2 linked regions of the Schizosaccharomyces pombe genome follow. The main gene of each other region encodes a partner of the protein of the gene in region 2 in a complex. Each region holds a gene or a part of one and is shown on either strand. Other genes may lie near its edges. The genes, in order: tel2 and tti1.

Region 1 (5,224 bases), on a different chromosome or scaffold from region 2:
GATATAAGTAGTGGTATTCTACTAAACTTTACGGTTGTTCTGAAACAGGTAAGATACCCTTGAATACTTGCACATTTACTAATTTGTAGTTGAAGCATGCTTTAGGCTTGCATACCTCAGTCGATAATTCACAGGAATTTATTTTACAGTTTTTGCGAACGACACTTTTATCCGTACCAACGTCCTCAATTGTTTCTATCTCAGCGGACCCAACAAGCTGGAATAATCTCAACGTTTTAATGAAGTATAATTTTATGTTTCAAAAGTTTAAACCTCGAGATTTTCATGCTCAAACAATTCAATCAGAAACTATGTTTATACCTCCTTGTTGGGACACTATCTCTAAAATACAGAGTGTCAATCATGAATTTAATATCGCCCTTTTTAAACAAACCGCTAAAAATTTTTACGATACTCTTGACATAAGTTTATTACTTGGTTTATTTGATAAGAGTATATCGATGTTGAACTGTCATTCCTCAAAAATATCGGATGGAGATATACCCTACAAATCGCACCAAGTTTTTTTGCAAGAACTACAGAACAAGTATAGCGAGATTAAAACGTATTCTTCAAACAAATTAAATAAATCCTCCATAAAATCAAGTTTGTGGAAGGACTTAATTCAATAATTGTAATTGGCCTAAAGACATTCATTATTATTACAAAATCATATTATTTAATTAAAATGCATTAATGAGTTTCTGTCAAAATTTCAACCTCATAAATAATATTTTTTTTCTTTTAAATCATGACCATAAAGAACTATTAAAGTCCGGCTAATCCAAATCGCTCTGGAACCAAAGGAGCTGAGTCATCCAGTAATTTTTCCAATGCGAGCGTTCTGAATTCTGAAAGTTTATTTTCAAATAGAATTAAAACAGCTGCTGAGAGTGACTTAACTTTCTCACCTTGATCAGGGCTTTCAAAAAGAAACTTAGTATACGCCTCAAAGAAGAGCAAATGCTTCCCAAACTCATTAGCTAAAGTACGCCCAGAAGATATTTCTAAGATAGCCAAAAAACTAAACAAAAGCCCTTCATTAACTTCTGGAGTGTCTGATCGAAGTCGGCAGACCTCATTTAAAACGTCAACATATTCCCGGAGCATTCTGTTTGCCCCTTCTATCTTTGAGGTAAAAGTTTCAAAAAAGAGAATACCCAATGTCTTAAGATAGTAGACTAAAAACAAAGGCTCAATAAAAGCCGTTTTCCTAGATGCCAGCATATAACCACTGGTGAGGAGCAGGAACAATGATTTATCTACCTTAAGCGATAATCGATTGGCCTTTGGGAGTGGCTTTTTCGACTCGATTTCCGACTGCTTTGAAATATACCGTGTCTGTAAGAATTTCGGTCCCTCCGCATAATCCTTGCATTCACTCATTACCGGAAAAACTAATTTCCTTTCTAATTCATCACTAATCTTTTCAATAGTGGGTGAATAAAACTGATCGTGTAAATTTCCTGGAAGTAACTGGCTGGGAAAAAGACGTTCATTATCATCATCGTTGAATTTGCTAGCAGCTAAAGAAATACAAGATAAGATAAGTATTTTTTGGCGCATTGAATAGTCACTAACAAATAAATTTGTACAAATAACAGGACCACATATATCTAAACAGGTTAACAGAAGTTCCACTATAGCAGTCATTTGCATTTCATCAAAGTTCATTAAGTCAAATCGATTTTGTAAGGAAATTAACGTTTGTAACAATTCATCTGCATGATCTCGTAATTCGGTTCCAAAAGCAGACTTTCGTTTTATTAACTTAGAAGCGTTTTCCAGTGCAACACGTTGTTTCTCAAAACTTTCTGTGTCTTTTAACATTTTGCACAAATCTTGTACGTACACAGGAGAATGCGTCTTGGATCTAGAGACAGTTGGATCGTCGTCCGTGTCCTCACTGTCAATATCAGGAAAATCGTAAGGCTCCAAGTCATCTCCCCTTATTAAGTCATCGTTTTTAGAAATCACTGGCTTCTCCAAGTGAGTTACATTCGTCTCTTCCTTTTCTATCGAAGTCTCTGCGATAACACTTTCGTCATTCAAAATTTCAATAGGCAAAAATTCATCCTTGAGTGAGCTCAACGATTTGAGAACTTTTGCTTTCGTAGTCTTCATTATTGGAACGTCAAAGGCTAACGGGTTACTTAAGCTGACACCCGAATATGTAGAGATTACTTCGGCCATTATCATTCCATGCATTCGAATATCATCATCTAGACTATCTAAACGGCAAGATATTGCATTGGAGAACATTAGGGATTTGGAAAGATTATTCAAATATTTTGCTTCAAGTTTCGGAATAAATAGTAATAAATATATTGTTAAGCTCTCTTGAGCTAGCAGCGTATAGCTCCTCAAAAATTGCGCATTTGACCATATATTAAACAGAGAGTCCACTGTTTTTTCTAGCTCCTTTTTATCAGATTCCTTATAAGATATACTCGAACAAACTACTTCTACCCTTTTAATTATTAAATTTGTAGGGACGCCCCAATAAAATTCAATTAATCGAAGGAAGTGAGTGGATGAAAAGTTCAGCCTTAATAATGTAGCCAATGAACCTGTTATACGATCATCTCTTGCGGTGGAATATGAAAAATTGGTGGGATATTTGGTATTATGTTCAAGAAGAAGTTGATTGAGAAACAACATTTGATCAGAGACCGTCAAATCTGCAAATAATTTTTGTAGCTGAACACAAAATTTTTGTGTTAATGGAATCAATGGGTTAATGAATGCCTTTAAATTGGATGAGTGTAATAAATAATGGAATAGCTTTGAATATATTTCTGGGGTTTTAACAGCAGGTTTAGATATAATGCAAGCCAATTTTGAAGATAAAACGCCAATGTAGTCGGCCATTGATGAAGCCTTCAAACGTTTTGAATCATCGTAAACCTTGAAGGTAAGCATTGCAGCAGACATTGAATTAGTAATTTTAAAGTTTCCCAAGAAAAAAATAAATTCAGTCCACAAAGATTGCTTTTGATGATCAGATAATACAGTAGATTCCCATATCAATTTACAGTTATCGTCAAGGTCTATACATTCAAATGCTTTTTCCAGTAGCTCAAGATAAACTGTAACAAGATGAATGTTTTGCAAATTAGCCTCTTGAACAAAATTATCTAGTCGAACACATAGCAGTTTTAAGCCCAAAAGAGTAGAAAAACATTTTGCAAGGAGAAAATCTATTTCTGAATTAATTTTCCCATTCCAGAATGTGGGCACTATCACACTAATTAACTCATGATATAATCTTAGATTGCAAGGAGAAGGAACACCTATATGCTGCAGTTCTTTAAGGATTTCTTTTAAACGCGGCTTTTGAATAGGTTTGGATAGTTCGCTAGCAAAGGATTTCATATCCTTGGAGTTGAAAAATAACCGAATTATTTTGGGGTGTTGAGAAGACAGTAACCTTCGGTGGATTAATTCACCGGTCAGCAATCAGCAATATGCAGGATTATAGGCTGCTTGGCTAAAACAACACCAAAACTCTTTACAAAGTATATAGTTATTTTTAATTTGTTGTCCATGTAAATTACTTTAAATTCTATTAATTGTTTTTCATTCTATAAAGGTAATTTGAACTCAATTCATATAGTTTTTTAAATTGTGCTCTTAAACTTCCTGAGAATGGTGTATGCAACAATTACATGGGTAGCATCGGGATATTCTGTGAAACCTGTAAAGCTCTTCGATGTATTATTTTCACGGACTTTTCACAGCCTGAAATTGAATAGGAACTTACAATTTACGTGACAGAAAAAGGATATTATGTATAATTTAACTTAAAGACATTTTGTGCTTATATGCAATAGTTGTAACAAAAGAATGGATAGTTATGCTTTCAAATTCGCTTTCTATAAGTGAAGTATCCTGTTGCTTTATAAGACTAGTTGCAATATTTCTATTTGCTTTTAAAAAGCAAGTAACTTTTAGTTTAAAACTGTTTTTGTGTACCTCCCAAATTAAATGTTAATGCTCCGCTAATCGGTAAGCTAATCCGTGAGAAAAAATGCATTAATTTTTCTTGTTTCGTTCAAGTCAACACATTGCAAATAAAGGTCACTAAATTTACAATTCAGGATTTTTAAATTGAAATATTAAACATAATACGTGGACGAGTGCAAAAAACTACCAGTTTATTTAAATAAATAAAAAAAAAATATCATAACATGTATTATCGTAATCTTTTCCTTAGACTGCTCTTCACACGATGTCTGAATAACCGTCAACAAAAAGCTATTTATAAAAATTTCAGAAACAGGTAGTCTCCTTCACAGCACTGCGAACGAAAACTCTAGGGAAGCAAAACAAACGGAGTTTATCTGCCTTGTTATATACTCGTTAAACGACAACTCAACACACACCACTATCCACCACCAACAACAAAATCCTTAATAAAAATGTCATCTCATAAACCCGTTCGTCCTAATGAAGCTCTTCACAAGGAGGCTTTGGAGGAGCTTGATGCTAAGATCAACGAGGCGAAAAAGCGTTTCGTAAGTAGTTTTAAATTCTTGAATATTGAAGGCTAAGCTTTTTTTTTTTTTCATAACTATGAAAGCTTCAAAAAATCACTTGTTTCTTATATAGTTTTCGCATCTTAACTAATCAACTAGAATGAGCATAAGGAGAAGCTTGGTGCCATTCGCGGTGGTGGTTCATTGCAGGAGAAGAATGCAGAACTTCGCGCTGAATTAGACAATATTCGCAATGCTCAAGCAGCTATCCGTTCTTCTAAGCAAACTCTCATCAACAAAGTCAAGGCTCAAGATGAACTTTTGAAAAAGAAGGTATGTTTTGCATTAATATATGTAAGCACTAAAGTTTTGTGTTGGAAAACTTTATGAGCTTGGTAAAGAAACAAAATGTTTACTGACATACTTTTAGGTTAAGGAGTTGACTGCCATGAAAAAAACTGTTCCTTTCAAGTCAGAAGTGGAGCTTGATAAACATGTTAAACAACTTCAAGCCGCCGTTGACTCAGGAACTTTAAAGATTGTTGATGAGAAGAAATACCTGCGTGAAATTTCTCAGTGCAATCGTACTAGAAAGAGCTTCGTTGAGTTGAACGCTCTTCAAACTAGTATTGATACGATTAGAAATGAACTTAACGAGCTTCGTGATCAACTTAATGATTCAGAATCAAAGAAGTTGAGTGACAAGTTCGTAGAAATCCGTTCTGAGCTTGATGAGGTTCGTAAGC
Region 2 (7,209 bases):
GATGCTCAAGTTGACGGAAGGATGGAAACGCAATCCACCCTTGTAGGGGCCCAAAGCCGAGTTGAATTGGACACGGTAGCCGGTGTTAACACGGCAGTTACCTTTATCGTCCTCCCATGTGACGCGGAATTCTAAGACACGTTCGGGAATGGAAATGATTGGAAGCACACGCTTCAACTCGGGATGAACTTCAAAGAGCTTGGAGCTCTCGATGGAGCCCACAATCTCCTTGTAGGCTTGTTGAAATTCAGGTTCGTATGGGGTACTCATGGTGGGCCAAAAAAGTAAACAAAATCGAAGGTAGTGATATAGAGTGTATATCTATATAATAATGATAAGTTTAGAGAATTCGAGATATCAAAAAAAGGCGACCTCGAAAACTTTTAACAATACAAATACAGGCTGTACAATCCAAAGTTCTATACAAATCCGTATTCGACGCCTTCAACGCAAAGACTTTCAAAATTTAACTACAATCCAACAAAACTCTTACAACGTGAGTATGTAAGAGATATCGATCCGGGTTCAAAACGCTTACCAGATGTACCAGTGCAGTGTAGCAGGAGGATTCAGGGACGTGCTGGCCATGTCTGCTATATTTATACACTTAACAAGCAATAATCAACAGTCACACCAGATACCTTGTTTTTTGGGAGACCATACGTTTGCTAATGGCTGACGACTTGCAATAAACCTGATGGAAGAGCGATGGCGGAGATAACAGACGAATAGGATGTAAGTATGATGTCAAAATCTCCAATCACAATGCTCCTATATATCTCTTTTCTCTATAATTGGATAGTGGAAAAGAAGATTACTTAAGCGGAAAATTTCCGATCTGATAAGCCAACCCCCTCACAGAATTCCTTCGTCTCCTGCTCAACCAAATAAAGATAAGATAAGCATTGCTTAATGATTGGTCCGTGCAACGGCTATCACCCACCCTACTGAAAATGTGGGGAAAACGCAGCTCCTCCGGGAAAATCCATGGAATTATAGAAGATCCTTAGTGGGATGGGGTGCTTGGGGGGGGGGGAAAGATGTTTTTAGATGAAAAAAAAATGTTTTAGAGAGGTTAATGTTGTAATATAGAAGATTTTCGCTTTCTGTTGATTAACAGTTTCTATAATTTTTTTAAGAAAAAAAATCTGGAAAAGTCCAAGTCCTTTGTTAATCTAATCTCGTTCCAATCTCTCACATCCATTTAAAGGGTCTATTCTTTACTCCTTTCAGTTGCTGCCCCCTTACTGATAACAAGGATAACTAAGGATAGTACCAAAAGAAAAAAACGCTAAATACTGAAATAGGTCGAATCACACTGAAACGGGTAGGTTCTTCCAGGCAGACCAAATCGCAAATACATATCCGAAAATTCGAGTAAACGGCCTTGCCTCGGTTTTACAGTATGGACTAAACATTCGCTCATCCAAACGTATTGCGCCTTAGCAGCCATAGTCATGACTAGCTTTCAATAGAAAAAAGACAAACGAAACAGAGTCATGAAATTCGTAGCGTAGATGTAAGTTAGAAAAATTTCAAATTTCTTTATTTTTTGGTCTTCTGATAACCCACTATCCCACTATCGTTTGTCCATTTATTCCTTGCCCGATCATGTGGCTGTTTGCTTTGAATCTAAAATTGGATAGAAAATAGTTCATTCGAAAGATTAGCGAAACTACGAAACAAGGTGCGATCGTCGTTGTGCTCGGTAGCAAGATGAGTTTGTTTTTTAGTATAATTTAGGTAGCTGCCAGCCTCGTTTCGTCAACTTAGCTAAATTCGTTGAGTCTGACTCATTGAATGTAGGTAAAATGGCTCATCTAAATCGAAACAAGTTGAATCGAGTACAGCCTTAGTCAAATCAAATAATGCCAAGATGAAAAAAGTCGAGCCTTTGCCAATATAATTTTATGCGATGTAATGGAATTCTTTGCCTGATTTTTAGGCTCTTTGTATTTTCTTTTAAAACACGGAAAATTCTAAAACTGGTAACCACTTTTATTATCGTTAAATGATGGAAATCAATGGTTTTTTAGCTCCTTTTTTCGGTTGATTCAAGTGTAACAAATTGTCCAAAGAAGGGAGTGGTTCCTCTTGTGTCTCGGTTTTCCCGCTGCCTTGTTGCCCAAGCAAATCATTGAAAACAGTCTCCGACGTCTTTGCTCCGACAGGTTCCAAAACTTCATGTGTTCGGCGATATGTACGTTGAACACGTTGCTTTCCCGGAATTAACAATTCAGTAGAGAAAGTGTCAATCATTTGAGACCCTCGAACTTCTCTCTCATAATACACTGCGTCGGGATTTTGCTTGGAAAATGCGTTCCAAGTTTCTTCCACCAATGATTCATCCCCCGCATACTTTTGAGACATGTGAGTAATGGCTCGTATGATGGGTGCCGTTATCCCCATAAGCTTCAAATACACTACAATGCTCAATTTGTTAGCCACACATGCTGAAGTTACTTTTAGCATTGCCCTTTGCAAACGATGCTCACTAGAATATGTTCGAGCAACATTGAAAAGATGCCAACGTTGGCACAACGTCTCCAATCGTGGAAGCAAATCTTGGCGAATCCTAGATGTCATAAAATCATCTGCAAGGGCGCAAACTTGATATATAGTTTCTAATGCGCATTCTACTAGCAGTTCGTTATCCGTGTCAAGCTGAATAACGACCAATGGCCAAAATGTATTAATAGCAGGATAAAATGTGTTTGGCTCCTTAGCCAAAACATTGCTTCCATAGCTCAACAATTTTAACATTTCCACTCGTATCGTAATTTGTTCATGTGATAAGAATAACTGCGCCTTTTCCGTGATTTTCCTTACCATATCGACGACATCATCTTTTTGCTTTTCTCCTTGTTCGTCCATAACATTACTATTTATGTTTTCATGATCAACTGTGGTCTCACCCATATTTTCATTTTCTTTGCCCTTCTTTTCTTTTTCCTTCATTGCATGTTCGCGAAACTGTTCATGTCCACTTTTCGTTTCTTGTTGTTCATCGTGTATCATATCCTCTAGTTCATGATCATCTTTTGGAAGAGGATAATTAGGGTTCTCTAATAGTAGTTGAACGAATTCGCGAATCTTTTTACATGGCTTATTTTTATCCTCGTTCATTGCGTCCTCCTCCACCCCGACGATGAGCTTTTTCTCCTCGCCATTTATACTTTCTTGCTTTATTATGGCATAAAGAATTCCAAGCAACCCTTCTGTAAGCCGTGCGTAACCATGGTAAGCATCCAAAATCCCAAAAATAGCATCCACTACATCTCCAATGTACCGAATGCATCCTCCATCGTCATTCTTTATTACATAAGCCATCACAATTGGAAGTTGAGGTGATACGTCTAATGTGTTCAATTTGAGGGCAACTGAGTTGACCACATAGTCAATATTTTCTCTAAGTAACTCTGCTGGCGTCGAGTAGTTGCAATTTGTCGCAATTGCTTGAATACATGCCTCTGCAAACGAAGATACATAAGGAGAAGCAAACGCCAAATGTTCAAGGAGAGGATAAAAATATGCCATTAATTTTGATCGAAACTTTACTCCTTGTAAAGAAGAAATCCAGCTAATGCTGTCAATAGCAATGCAAGAACGAACACACAAAAGATTATACTTTTCCTTTTTCTGCTTATCCTCCAACGATGCTTTCGTAAAGACATTTAATTGCGATAATTGTTGCAATACTTCGAATGAATATTGCTCTAATGAATCAATATACATTTCCAAACTGTCCACCGTTTCTACGTCACTTTTCAAAAGTACCATAAATGCCCAAAATGCACGAACCGAGTTTTCATTTGTTGCTGAGGTAGCCTTAGAAAGTAAGGACTGCATAACATATTTAACATTAGGTGCCTTTGCGAAGCTTGTAACAATCTCTTGTGTTGTTCTTTCCATCTCATTTCCACCAAAAAATTCACCATGGATGTACTCATTCGAAGTACTGGATGTTAAAAGCTTCTGCGAATTGGAATCAATTCCCGATGACTTTGGTACAAGTTGGCTGAGTATACCATCCAGTAAAGGCTCCATGAGCTGCAAAGTCTTAGGAAGATGACTGGATATACTTAAGAGACTTTTCAATCGGTTCAACTCCTCCAATTTATTATCTTCTGAAGCAAAAGTGGAAACACTAGACCATGTAGTAGACCAATCATTTAGGCATTCAGTTAATACTGATTCCATAGTAATATTGTTGAATGATTCAATGAGAGAAACGAGTTTGTTCATCCCATAGTCCCTTAATTTTGGATTTTCTTTTTTATTGATCAATTTTAGCATGCTCTCTAGTAAATGAATCCTACAATCTTTTAGTGAATCTAAACAATCTCTAAATAGGATAAAGCAAAAATCAAATAAAGCATCTTGTACATGTAAGTTTTGTGAAGAACGAAGGTGAAGAATTGCCTTGACGGCATTGCTTAATTGTTGGCAGGTAGCGCGTTTCCAAGACTTTGTACGCTTCGTTGGGCCAAAAAAATGAGAATTAGAAGAAGCATCTTTTTCATCTGGCAAATCTTTTGTGTTATCGTCACTAATAGCTTTCACCACTGTATCACCTAAAATATTCAAAGAGATACACACGTTTTTAAAATACTGACAGGTTCCATTTGGCGCCAGTCCCTTTGTCAATCCCGATACTATGCCAGGAAGAAAAGTAGTAAGAAATTCTGTTGGTAAGCGATATTGCTTTGGGCATATTAGCTTTTGGACGCAACACAATGAGGCAAACTGTAATCTCCGTGAGCTATTTTTATTTGGAATAATATCCAAAGCACTAGAAAGAGCTCTCGCAAAGAGAAGATACTGTCTTTTATCGTGAAAATTAGGCTTAAAATCTGTAATAACGTTCTCAAGCGTTTCGAAAGTAATTTCTCGAACACGAAAATCTTGTTCCACAGTTTCCGAAGGAGATTTCCATCCATCTGCTATATTAAGAAGCATCAATAATAGTTGCATCGTCAACATTTCATTATGAGCTTCCCTCCAACCATGCTTGTAAAGCAAATTCACGCACTGAATGGCATACTCCACTCCTGTACTTGGGACACGATACCAGGACTTTAGTACAGGTACAATTGGAAAAAATATGTAATCGCATAAATTTAGTGGTAAATCGGCGTCTGTATTGGTCAATGCTTTTTCCAGCCCAAAGTACGCATCCTTCAACGAGTTCTTTAACCCATTGGAGTCAACAGATGAAGTTTCAGAAGATAGAGGAAGAGAATAGAAGCTTAACTTTCGAAAAGGATCTCGAATTTGTGCGAAAATACTCTGTATATGAGACATGTAGAGAAACCATGAAGTTATAGAGATGGTAGGTCATATACAAGCAAACCATTTAAAAATGCATACTTTTGCGATTGGAAATGTATATGATATTACAGTATTCTCTAATAAATAATTCAATATTATTCAAATGATTTGAATATTTAATGTCGTGCTAAATTATAGCAAGTGTTTTGACTAGATGCACAGCCAATTCCCAGTCGGTTTTCGTGAGAAACATTGAAAATATTTAGCAAAATGAGTTGCAATGATTTGACTTTGTTCTTAAAAACTTGGAAAGATATATTGCAAAAAGCTGCAAGTTTTAGGGTTACATTCAAGTTCTTACTGATGACCATTACTTTGATCTCAACTAAAATTTTAAATTAAAGAGAGAATTTTTGAAGCTATGCAATTACAATAATAATAACTTCGTAGCCTTTCAGCCTTTTAGCGTATCTGTTTACATTGAATTAAAAACTCGATAGTATTATTTTATATTTTTTAATAAACATTTTAACGTGTGTGTCGAAAGACATATATATAGTATAAATAATTTGTAGCTCAAATTACTTTGCTATGCAGACTAAGACTGGTTTAATGTGTGCAATGGAAGTAGTGGATGTATTCACTCAAATTTATAAGGGTATAACCTTTTTACTAGTCTAGTTTTGTAGTTTCAAGCTTCTAGTCCTCTATAGTCCTTAAAAAAGTCGTTAAGTTCATAAAGACGATACAACTTAAGAGGTAGCCAACTCATAAGAGATTTTCTGCTACATACCTTTAACAAGCGAGGAACACAGTAATTTCTGAATTTCTATTTGTAGTCAAAAATCACTGAATTATCAGTTTGTTTCAAAAACGAGAGGATTGTTTAAACTAATTTGCATTTTCTTAAACCAAACTTATTGTAACTTGAATAATCTCTTTAATCTATTTATTTTGAAGGTCAATGAACTCTTAGACAGATATGAAAATTGCTCAAAATAATACCGTAAGCTTTCCAAGAAACTAGATGCTGGTATTTTAAACAGTATGGATCAAAAACAAGAAAAAGTTGAAACTCATAAATGCATTCAACTGCACGACATATTTATTTCCTTCATGTTTTGATTTTATATACTTGGAATACGTTTCACCAGATCTTTAACGTTTTCTTACGCACTTCCATAAAATCTCACACCATGGTGAGACATGAAAATAACGAAATTTCAAAGTCACTTAGAACAAACTACAATTAATGAGTTGGTTGTTTAAATAATCTAATAAAAAATGTCGTATAAATTAGACCAACTCACTCGTCTTCCTGAAAACAAGAAATGTTTTGATTGTGATGCTCCAAATCCACAATGGGCATCTTGTAATTTGGGAATCTTCATTTGTTTGGATTGCAGTGGACAGCATCGTGGTTTGGGAGTCGAAAAGAGCTTTGTCCGCAGTATTACCATGGACAATTGGAGTGAACGTCAAGTGAAGATGATGGAGGTAAGCATCAGGATTGATACGGGCTATTGGAGTTTGTTGGTTATTTTACCAAAAAAAAAACATATATATATAATAATTCATTTGGCTGAGAGGGTAGCGCTATTGATCTGCGAGTTTGCTTGCCGCTATTTCGAATTTTTTCCAAGTCATTTAGTGCCTTTTTTTGACAAGAATAATGTTTAATGTTAAAAACAAGTACATGACGCGCAATTGATTATCACCTGAAGTTATAAAATGCAAGCTCACTATAATTTCATCAATGACTTGAAACAACATATATAGCCCACATTTGTTGCATGCTCCTGACTAACTTCTATACAGGTTGGTGGAAATTCTAATGCTAAAACATTCTTGTCTACAGACCCGATGTTTTCTGCTGCCGGAAGTATTCGTGAAAAAGTATGATCTTTGAACCTTCTATATTTTTTCCAGTTTACCTTA

The links.
Region 1: tti1 (region 2) and tel2 share a complex: the UniProt entries of both Schizosaccharomyces pombe proteins name them as parts of the TORC2 complex.

Annotation. Positions count from the first base shown.
Region 1 is NC_003424.3:4,733,013-4,738,236, reverse strand, and holds tel2 (TTT co-chaperone complex LRR repeat subunit Tel2), read right to left. Parts: upstream 3,417-5,224; 5' UTR 3,376-3,416; coding exon 769-3,375; 3' UTR 639-768; downstream 1-638. Other genes in the region: dli1 (meiotic dynein intermediate light chain Dli1/Dil1), read left to right, coding at 1-48, 90-632; SPOM_SPAC458.02C (mRNP complex protein), read left to right, coding at 4,422-4,517, 4,638-4,811, 4,909-5,224. UniProt on the Schizosaccharomyces pombe protein: Component of the TORC1 and TORC2 complexes required for the regulation of the cellular respons to changes in available nutrients. Required for normal entry into S phase. Regulates activation of the DNA replication checkpoint.
Region 2 is NC_003421.2:1,420,543-1,427,751, forward strand, and holds tti1 (TTT co-chaperone complex, armadillo-type fold subunit Tti1), read right to left. Parts: upstream 5,326-7,209; 5' UTR 5,305-5,325; coding exon 2,008-5,304; 3' UTR 604-2,007; downstream 1-603. Other genes in the region: NADP-specific glutamate dehydrogenase Gdh1, read right to left, coding at 1-270; SPOM_SPCC622.14 (GTPase-activating protein), read left to right, coding at 6,556-6,768, 7,090-7,167. UniProt on the Schizosaccharomyces pombe protein: Component of the TORC1 and TORC2 complexes required for the regulation of the cellular respons to changes in available nutrients.